Arabidopsis thaliana: one gene and its partner. The protein of the gene in region 1 interacts with the protein of each later gene in a biochemical or structural test. Each region holds a gene or a part of one and is shown on either strand. Other genes may lie near its edges.

Region 1 (4,838 bases):
ATTTGGGTTGTGCACATAACCTAGAAGCTTTGCTTCATTTGGTGGATGGTTATCATGGAAAAGACGAAGAAGCAGAGAAGAGATTTTGTTTGGTGACAAAGCGAGACATAGCTTTAGTGAATAAGAGTTGTGATTTCTTGAGAGGTGAGTACCATGTGCCGCCTTGTTGGAGACAAGATGAGAACAAAGGTATGGTCAAGAACGGCGATGGACAGTGGGTTCTTCCGGACCGACCACTGCTTGAACCTCACGGACCGGAGGATATCGCTCATCATCTTCAACAAGTTCTTGGGAAGGTTAACGATGATAATTTTAAACCCACAACGACTTAAGTCGAAAATTAAATATAAATAGTTATAAAAATATTTTCGTAATTAATGTGTGGATCACGTTTGATAAATTGAGTATGTTAGTGTTTGATTAATGATTTAATTAAACTTCTATAATTATGGAGGTCATCACCATCCCCCATTCTCTGTCATGTATAAGCTATGATTAGATATATAATATGTGGTTACATGATATCACGTATATATGTGGTTTAGGAGAGATCCAATACAACTTTCATTGGTTAAAAGTTAAGCGGTAAATTCGTACAAATATAACGTGGAAGAAAAGTGGACCACAACAAAGTGCATGCTAAGAGGGCATTGAGTGCGTGTATCACTTGAAAAAATAATAATCATAAATCTCTGTGTTCCCCAAAATATGATATAACAATTACAATATGCGCACGACAGGAATTAAAGGATTCAGAGTTGTCATCATATTAACAGATAATGCGATATGTTCCACAATAAACAGAACAAGAAGTTGTTCCATATCTTTCGAGTTAAAGTTGTTTATATATAGATAGTTTTGATAGATTCTTTAAGATATGACTTTGTAATCTAATTAAATACTTGAAAATCGTAACTCATGAATATACAGAAAGCTCTTTTTGTCCATTGAGATCTCTAAATCTTTCACATCATGCATTGAGGAATCAGAAAGTGCTTTAACCTCAACCTTCTTTTCTCTCAGCCTTCTTAACCACTCGAGCTTTGCTCTCCTTGTCATATGTTTTGTGATCAAGGGATTAATTTGATAAAATTCTTCATATATATCTCAGTCCATACCTCCTTGAATTCAGCAAGGCATGTACTCCATTCTTCTTGCTTCTTCTTCATCATTGTAGGCAATGCACGACCATGATCCTTTTTTTTGTTTTGCTAAATCAAGACTAGGATCCTTCTTAATAATTTCAGTGACTTCCTTCCCATAATCACCATACAATGCATCAATGAATCTCATGTTTTGACCTTTCTCAACTAATTAATAATTTTAAATAATATGAAATTAATTTTTAAGTTTATTACAATAAAAAAATCGATTTTATTAATATTTTACGAGAAGCTTGAGCTAAAATTCCTGAAAATTTTGTTTTATGATTATATTGGTAATAATCCAGCAAAAGAAGAGTTATTCCGAATAGGTTCCCTGGAAAATTGGGATTGAATAGATGTTGGATGACTAGAATACCTCGTCTTTAGAAATAAAGAAGGCTGTGAACTTTTTGTACGACGTATGCCTACTTCTTTGAAATTTTGTGGTTGTTTTAATACTTGCATTTGGTTTTTGGCTCAATTTATAAGTAATCGGAAGTTTTTATTAGTATGTATATTTTTATGCAAGCGATAGGATAAACAAATTTTAGTAAAGAATAAGGATAATAACTCATTCCATCGTATTATACATTATATTTAACCACCACCAATTATAAATATATCTATTATAAAAAGATCAAATTAGAGTACTTATAATTTTTTAACTTTTTGATCTATTAAGTATTGATGACATTCTTTAAAAATATCAAGTAAAACTATTTTCAAATGTTCTATATAATAGTACTTTCCAAATAATAGTATAAAAGTTTAGAAAAAAATATATGAGAAAGCCAAATAATCTATTGTTAGATGCATAAACCGTTTTTATTTTTAAATGGACTAAACTACTAAGAAAACATGGACACCCCTTATCCAAACCCTAGTTTCTTACTGGGCCTCATAAAGCCCACATAAGTCTCTAACATTTAAAAAAAATAATTCACTGTTTCTCTGCCATCCGCCAGTCTCTCAAAAATTTGCAAGTCGGCGAGTGCCACAAACTGGCTGCATCAAAAAAAACTTCTGTTTCAATGGAGTCTCTTCAATCAAATTCCAAAATTGAAGAAGCTGAACAAAATCCCAAAATTGAAGAAGCACAAGTCTCAGTATCGCTTCCCGAAGAACCTACCGGAGTTCTTCTTCCCTCCGAACTGGTGGACGATTCAGCGCCGCCGGAATCATCCGATGCTGTCGAAGAATCAATCGAAACTGCTTCAGAAGCAGAAGTATCAATTTCTCTTCTCGAAGGAACTACCACCGGAACCGCTCTTCTTCCTTCTGAAGAGAATGATTTAGCGCCATTGGAATCGTCCGGTATAATTGAAGAACCAATCGATACTGATTTAGAGAAATTAGATGTAGTAGCTATGGATGTTGATCAACCCGGATCCGATTTGAAAATTGAATCCGATTCATTCTCTGAAGAAGCTCCGACTACTTCTTCCTCCGATAACCCTAAATCTCCGAAACTGGATTCTGTGGCTAATCAGAACGGTAGCGCAATGGAAGAAGACGAAGGAGATGAAGAGCAAGATGATCCACCGCATAAGAAGCTTAAGCAGCTAGATTGTCTTACTTCAGTCGCTGTTAAGGAAGAGGAGGAGCCAGAGCAAGTGCTTCCATCGGAAGCTATGGTTGTGGAGGAAGCGGCGACTCTGGTTGCGAGTGCGGCTAAGAAATCTAAATCGAAGAAGAAGAACAATAATGTATGGGTGACTAAGAGCACACGTAAGGGAAAGAAGAAGAGTAAAGCCAACACGCCGAATCCAGCAGCTGTAGAAGATAAGGTATTGATAACTCCGGTGCCTAGATTTCCCGATAAGGGAGACGATACACCTGACTTGGAAATTTGCCTTTCTAAAGTATACAAAGCTGAGAAAGTTGAGATAAGTGAAGATAGACTTACTGCAGGAAGTAGTAAAGGGTATAGGATGGTGAGAGCTACAAGAGGAGTTGTTGAAGGAGCTTGGTACTTTGAGATTAAAGTTTTGAGTTTAGGTGAGACTGGTCATACACGACTCGGGTGGTCGACTGATAAAGGGGATTTGCAGGCTCCAGTTGGGTATGATGGGAATAGTTTTGGGTTTAGGGATATTGATGGGTGTAAGATACATAAGGCTTTAAGGGAGACATATGCTGAGGAAGGGTACAAGGAAGGTGATGTTATTGGATTCTACATAAATCTTCCTGATGGTGAATCTTTTGCTCCAAAGCCTCCTCATTATGTGTTTTATAAAGGGCAGAGATATATTTGTGCACCTGATGCTAAAGAGGAGCCTCCTAAAGTTGTACCAGGTATGTCATGCGTCACCTGTTCTTTAATTTTCGTGTTCTTGTGGGGTGACTTTTCTGCTTTTTGGTAGTCGCATATGTTTTAAGTAGACTAAAAATGTGTATGAATGTTGTTGCTTGTGATGGTAGCTTTATCATGGTTTGGTAGAGAATAGATAGTGGAGATTCTTCATAAAGATAAATGCCTTAGTTTTGTTTTTGCTACCCTCCACATCTATGATGTAGATGGTATCTGTGCAATTCTGGAAGATTAATGACCAATCTTTCGTTAACGATACCTTTACTTCTGATGCAGGCAGTGAAATATCGTTCTTCAAAAATGGTGTATGTCAGGGAGCGGCCTTCACAGATATTGTTGGCGGTCGTTACTACCCTGCTGCTTCGATGTACACTCTTCCCGACCAGTCAAATTGTCTTGTGAAGTTCAATTTTGGCCCCAGTTTTGAGTTTTTCCCTGAGGATTTTGGTGGGCGTGCTACCCCGAGGCCGATGTGGGAGGTTCCATATCATGGATTTAATGGTAGACTTGAAACTAATGGTTCTGAGGATATGAAGAGTTAGGCAGAACCAGCAGGCGTATTCTTGACATTTTAACACAGTTTTCCCAAACTAGTTCTTGGTTCAGATTTGGATGAGTTTAGTTGTAACAGTCATAGGGTAGCAAATGAACAACAAATGAGTTCTGTACATGTCTACTCTAAAATAATCAGACTGGTTTTTTCTGATTTTACAACTGGATTAGCCATATTTGTTTAAAGTTATTGATTGTTTGTGTATTTTTTTTCCTTACTATGTAATATTTCTGGGAGCTTATATTTGGGTTCCCAAAGTTGAAAATTTACCATTTTTGCTTGGTTTTACACTTTTAAGGTTTTAAGTATCTCGTTGTTTGTTCTCTATCTGTTCAACAAACGCCTTTGGGAGGTTACTTTTGTTAGTTTTGATTCTATTCCCTATCAACTATATGCTAAAAGAGGAGATTTCATGGCACTTAGTGATAAAAGTCAAATATGCCTGGTCTGTTCTGTTCTTGTGCTGCACAGATTATAGATTTGCGTCACTGGTGCTATCAAGCAAGGACCAGTGTTCTACTGCCAGCCAGGTAACAAATCTCCATACCATCTTCTGTTTATTTGATTTCCATAACACAGTTTCTTCTGAAGCTATGTTAGCAAACGAAGTGCCTTATTTGATATATTTACGGTGGTTCGTTGGTAGACTCTCTCTTAGGGGTTCATGCATGCATCACTTGTAATCTGATAATGTAGCCATGCTTATCTTTTTTCTCCAATATATGTATCTCTGATAGATACCATCCTCATGCTAAACAAATCTCATTAGTCAGAATGATAGTATCTCTCTTTTCTTTTTTTTTTCCTTACACAACGGGCTACAAACAGT
Region 2 (4,823 bases), on another chromosome or scaffold:
CCCTTTGAAGGAATGCCTCTGCATCTGAAAGAGAAGATTCTCATGAAATTGAAGGCCAAAATCATATCGACGTTCATCCTCCTTTCCAAGTCCTGGTCATCGATAGTCCTTAACAAAGATTTCACCAACATGTATTTGATAATAAAGTTCTTTGAATCTTTGAATCGACCACGTCTTCTTTTGGCAGTCGACGATCGAGAAATAAATATGCAGTTCTTCCACTCTTGCTCTCGAGAGGATCCATCTTCTGATCATCAAACGGTTGGCTGTTACCCTGATTCGTATCCGCGTATCTGGTATGACTTTTCTCCACCTGTTCGTGGCTTGATCTGCTGTCTAAACAATTCTACTAAAGTGGTAATTGGAAATCCTACTACTTGTCAATTTGAAACTTTACCGAGAGTCAGAACCAAAATATACCAAGAAATATTTCCCTTCTTTGGATACGATCATGTTAAGGATGAATACAAAGTCTTGTGCATGACGATATCGGATGAGTACTATAGTAGATCAGGAAATATTGTGTCCAAGGAGCATAAAGTTTTCACTCTAGGATGTAAACAGAAGAAATGGAGAATGATCGAATGTACGATTAATCATTATCTTACTCCTGGAACTCAAGGAATATTTAGCAATGGGGTTATCTATTACTTCGCTAGGGTCAATGATGATCAGTCGCTAATGTGCTTTGTTGTGGGGTCTGAAAAGTTTAGTGTCGTTGAGTTACCGAGGCCGGCCGTCGAAGTTCTAGCGAACTACGGCGAAAAGATAGCTGTAACGAATTTGTTATATGCTAGTAATGATAGACTTTTTGTATGGATTCTAGAAGATGCCAGCAAACAAGAATGGTCAAACTTTTGTGTCTTGGTTCCTTCTTGGGTAGATATATAGATTTCGACCATTCAGCTTCACGGGTATACTTGGAACCGGCGAGCTTATATTTACACCGGGCTTAAAGCGTGGCCCCTTCTATTTACTGTGTTACGATCTCAAGGAACACACAGCTAGAAAAATCTGCTTCAAAAGAATTGGTTATTATACTTCTTTGAAAGTCTTTTTGGATCATGTAGAGAATCCTATGGTTCTGCCAAAGATAAGGCAATCGGTTGGTGATGAGTTCTTTGGTGTTGCATGAACTAATCTCTCTTCTTTCTTTTCTTATTTTTCAAGTTTCAATTAAGTGGTCGGATATTATTTGTTTAAGACTAGTTCTTATTGGATTTGATGGTCACCCATTGGTTAGTCTTTTGATCAATGGATATTTATGTCTGTGGAATATTGTAATGCAATGTTTTTTTTCTCAACATCTTTGGAATGCAATGTTTATGACTTAACAAGAAAAATGTTTATGACTTGATTATAATAATCTCTGGTTTTGTGCGGAGCTTATACAGCTTCGGTTTTCTTCTTATTTGATTTCTTTTGGGGAGAACAAAGAGTTTTGTGTTTGGCTAGATGGATCTTTATCATCATTTTGGTCGCCTTTTGAATTTTATTTCATAAAGAAATCTTATGTATAAGAAAATAAAACTAATATCGATTCTGAAATAGCAAAAATACCTCAATATTTTCACTAAATCATAAAACGAACTACATTCATCATACAACACATTGTAACATTTCACCATTAATTTCTTAACCCAAGCAACAAGCCAATAAGTAGATAGTTTTTGTTTGACTAAACATACACACGTGTTCGGAGTTTGATGTACACGCGCTGACTGCGCGTGGATGTAATATAATCTTAATTCTTAAGTATATTCGTCGACGTTGCCTTGTTCCAAAGTTATAAACCGTGTGGAACCATCGAGAAGCGAAGCCAGAATAAATTTTCGAATCCTCCGACGATGACGGAATCAACATCCGTGGTTGCTCCTCCGCCGGAGATACCTAATCTGAACCCTAGCATGTTTTCTGAGTCCGATTTGTTTTCTATTCCGCCGCTAGATCCTCTTTTCCTATCTGATTCTGATCCGATTTCAATGGATGCGCCAATCTCCGATCTCGACTTCTTACTCGACGATGAGAACGGAGATTTCGCTGATTTTGATTTCTCGTTTGATAATTCTGATGATTTCTTCGATTTCGATTTATCGGAGCCCGCGGTGGTGATCCCTGAGGAGATCGGTAACAATCGTTCGAATTTGGACTCATCGGAAAACAGAAGCGGCGATGGAGGTTTAGAAGGAAGATCTGAGTCTGTTCATTCACAGGTTTCATCTCAAGGCTCCAAGACTTTTGTGTCCGACACCGTTGACGCATCATCCTCCCCTGAATCAAGCAATCACCAGAAATCTTCTGTTAGCAAGAGGAAGAAGGAAAATGGAGACTCCAGTGGCGAATTAAGGAGCTGCAAGTACCAAAAGTCCGATGATAAATCAGTCGCTACGAACAACGAAGGTGATGATGACGACGACAAGAGGAAGTTGATAAGGCAGATTAGGAACCGTGAAAGTGCTCAGCTTTCGAGGTTGAGGAAGAAGCAACAAACTGAGGAGCTTGAAAGAAAAGTGAAGAGTATGAATGCTACCATTGCTGAATTGAATGGTAAGATTGCTTATGTTATGGCTGAGAATGTCGCTTTAAGGCAACAAATGGCTGTTGCTTCTGGTGCTCCTCCTATGAATCCTTATATGGCTGCCCCGCCTTTACCGTATCAATGGATGCCGTATCCGCCGTATCCTGTTAGGGGATATGGATCACAGACACCTTTGGTTCCCATTCCTAAGTTAAATCCTAAGCCTGTCTCGAGTTGTAGACCGAAGAAGGCAGAGAGTAAGAAGAATGAGGGTAAAAGTAAGCTCAAGAAGGTTGCTAGTATTAGTTTTATTGGAATTCTCTTCTTTGTCTTCTTGTTTGGTACATTGGTTCCTTTTATGAATGTAAATTTTGGAGGAGAACGTGGAAGCTTTGGCGGTTTGTCTAAATATGATGGCCACCGGTATTACGATGAACATAAGGGGAGGGTTTTAATGGTCGGCGATGGTTCTGATGTTAGAAGAAATAGTGGAATTTCTGAAGGAAATATCCATTCTAGTAGGATTAGTCATGGTGAGAGAGATAGTTGTGGAGGAGTAGATTATAATGCTCATCCGAAAGTAGAAGGACGACCAAGTTCGTTGAGCAATGCCAGTGATCCTCTCTTTGCTTCTCTCTATGTCCCAAGAAACGATGGGCTTGTGAAGATCGATGGGAACTTGATAATTCACTCTGTTTTGGCGAGCGAGAAAGCAAGGGGTTTAGGAAAGAAGAATATCACTGAAACAGTAAAAACTAAAGAACCGGATTTGACCATTCCTGGTGCACTGTCTTCTGCATTAGCTGTTCCGGGGGTAAGAGGAAATGCAGCAATGCTTCCGCATTCAACAGCTCTCTCTTCTGAAGGGAAAAGACTTCACCAATGGTTTCATGAAGGTGGCTCAGGTAATTCTTGTTCTCTATGTAGTTTCTACTAAATGGAGTGATCTGGATTTTCAACTCTACATTGCATTCTCTTGCAGGGCCACTAATGGATTACAGCATGTGCACCGAGGTTTTCCAGTTTGATATTGCTCCTGGTGCTATAGTCCCGTCATCAGTCTCCAGCATTTCTGCGGAGCATCTCCAAAATGTCACTACCCACGGCAAGAGAATGAAGAACAGGAGAATCCTTGAGGGACTTCCTGTTTCACTTGTGGCGTCAGAGCTCAATATCACCGGAACCCAGCCAAACAAAGACGCTCAAAATAAGACCTTTAATGGAAACACTAACAAACCCACATCATCATCCTCCATGGTTGTCTCAGTGTTACTTGATCCAAGAGAGGTCGTTGACTCTGAAACCGACAGAGTGGTTCCCCCAAACCCAAAATCACTTTCCCGGATCTTTGTGGTGGTGCTTCTTGACAGTGTCAAGTACGTTACCTACTCATGCGTTCTTCCTCGATCGGGTCTCCATCTCGTAGCCACCTGATTTGAGCTACTCAGATCTTGACCTTAAGTAGGCGAACATTGACTTGTTTATACATACAGACCTTGTTGACTTTTTTTCCCTGTGTTGTATAACTCTTATGTTCTAAGGTTTTGGATTTTAATTTTGAGATAAGCATAAAGTGGAATCCTTGTTTTAAAGGCATTTCCAATAGCTTTAGGCTGTATAATACATCCGATGGTTGCAGAACTTTTCTAATTTAGAAGATATAATATACAAAAGAAGCTCTTAGAGCATATATATTCAATTGGGACTTAAGTAGAAGGCTGCACCCTTTTGTGCAGCATCATTCTATAACAACTCTTCCGGTTCTGTATCTAGTTTCCATATGAATTCATTTTATACATTTAAAAGTTTTGAGTACTCTGTCGATACAGTTTACTAGACATGTTAATGTCGTTATTCATGAAGCCAGGCCACTATCAGCATGAGAAGGACAATCCATGGCATAGCTGGTAAAACCTCAATCGCTGCTGCCAAACACAGAAAGAAGAAGGCATTTGATTAGAATTGGGAGTCTATGATTTGATATATCTTTGCTAAATTGGAAGACTTTAAGTAGCAACTTACATGAAGAGGACTGCGGTTGAGGATGAGCAACTTCGTTTGCATGTGGTTCCCGTGGTTCCGTTATGGGTGGTTGAGCTGCATGGGCAAACACCACATGTGGTAGAGGGGCAGAGATTGGAACTATATGAGACTTGGCTGCAGAAATTGGGGCCGGTGAGTGCAGCTGATGATGTGGTGCCCCAGCAGAAGGAGCAGGCGCAGGTGTGGATGAAAACTGCACGCGTTTCTCCTTGAAATGTACTCTATTCCCTGGGTTGCAGGGTGGAGGTGCAGATGGAGCTCT

What was found.
Region 2: the proteins of TRO (region 1) and BZIP28 form a complex in vitro, tested with the Arabidopsis thaliana proteins (one study listed by BioGRID).

What each region holds. Positions count from the first base shown.
Region 1 is NC_003070.9:19,072,223-19,077,060, forward strand, and holds TRO (TRAUCO), read left to right. Parts: upstream 1-2,105; 5' UTR 2,106-2,176; coding exon 2,177-3,440; intron 3,441-3,732; coding exon 3,733-3,998; 3' UTR 3,999-4,323; downstream 4,324-4,838. Other genes in the region: AT1G51440 (alpha/beta-Hydrolases superfamily protein), read left to right, coding at 1-332.
Region 2 is NC_003074.8:3,377,479-3,382,301, forward strand, and holds BZIP28 (Basic-leucine zipper (bZIP) transcription factor family protein), read left to right. Parts: upstream 1-1,689; 5' UTR 1,690-1,847; coding exon 1,848-3,423; intron 3,424-3,500; coding exon 3,501-3,952; 3' UTR 3,953-4,143; downstream 4,144-4,823. Other genes in the region: AT3G10790 (F-box associated ubiquitination effector family protein), read left to right, coding at 1-891; AT3G10810 (zinc finger (C3HC4-type RING finger) family protein), read right to left, coding at 4,370-4,443, 4,541-4,823.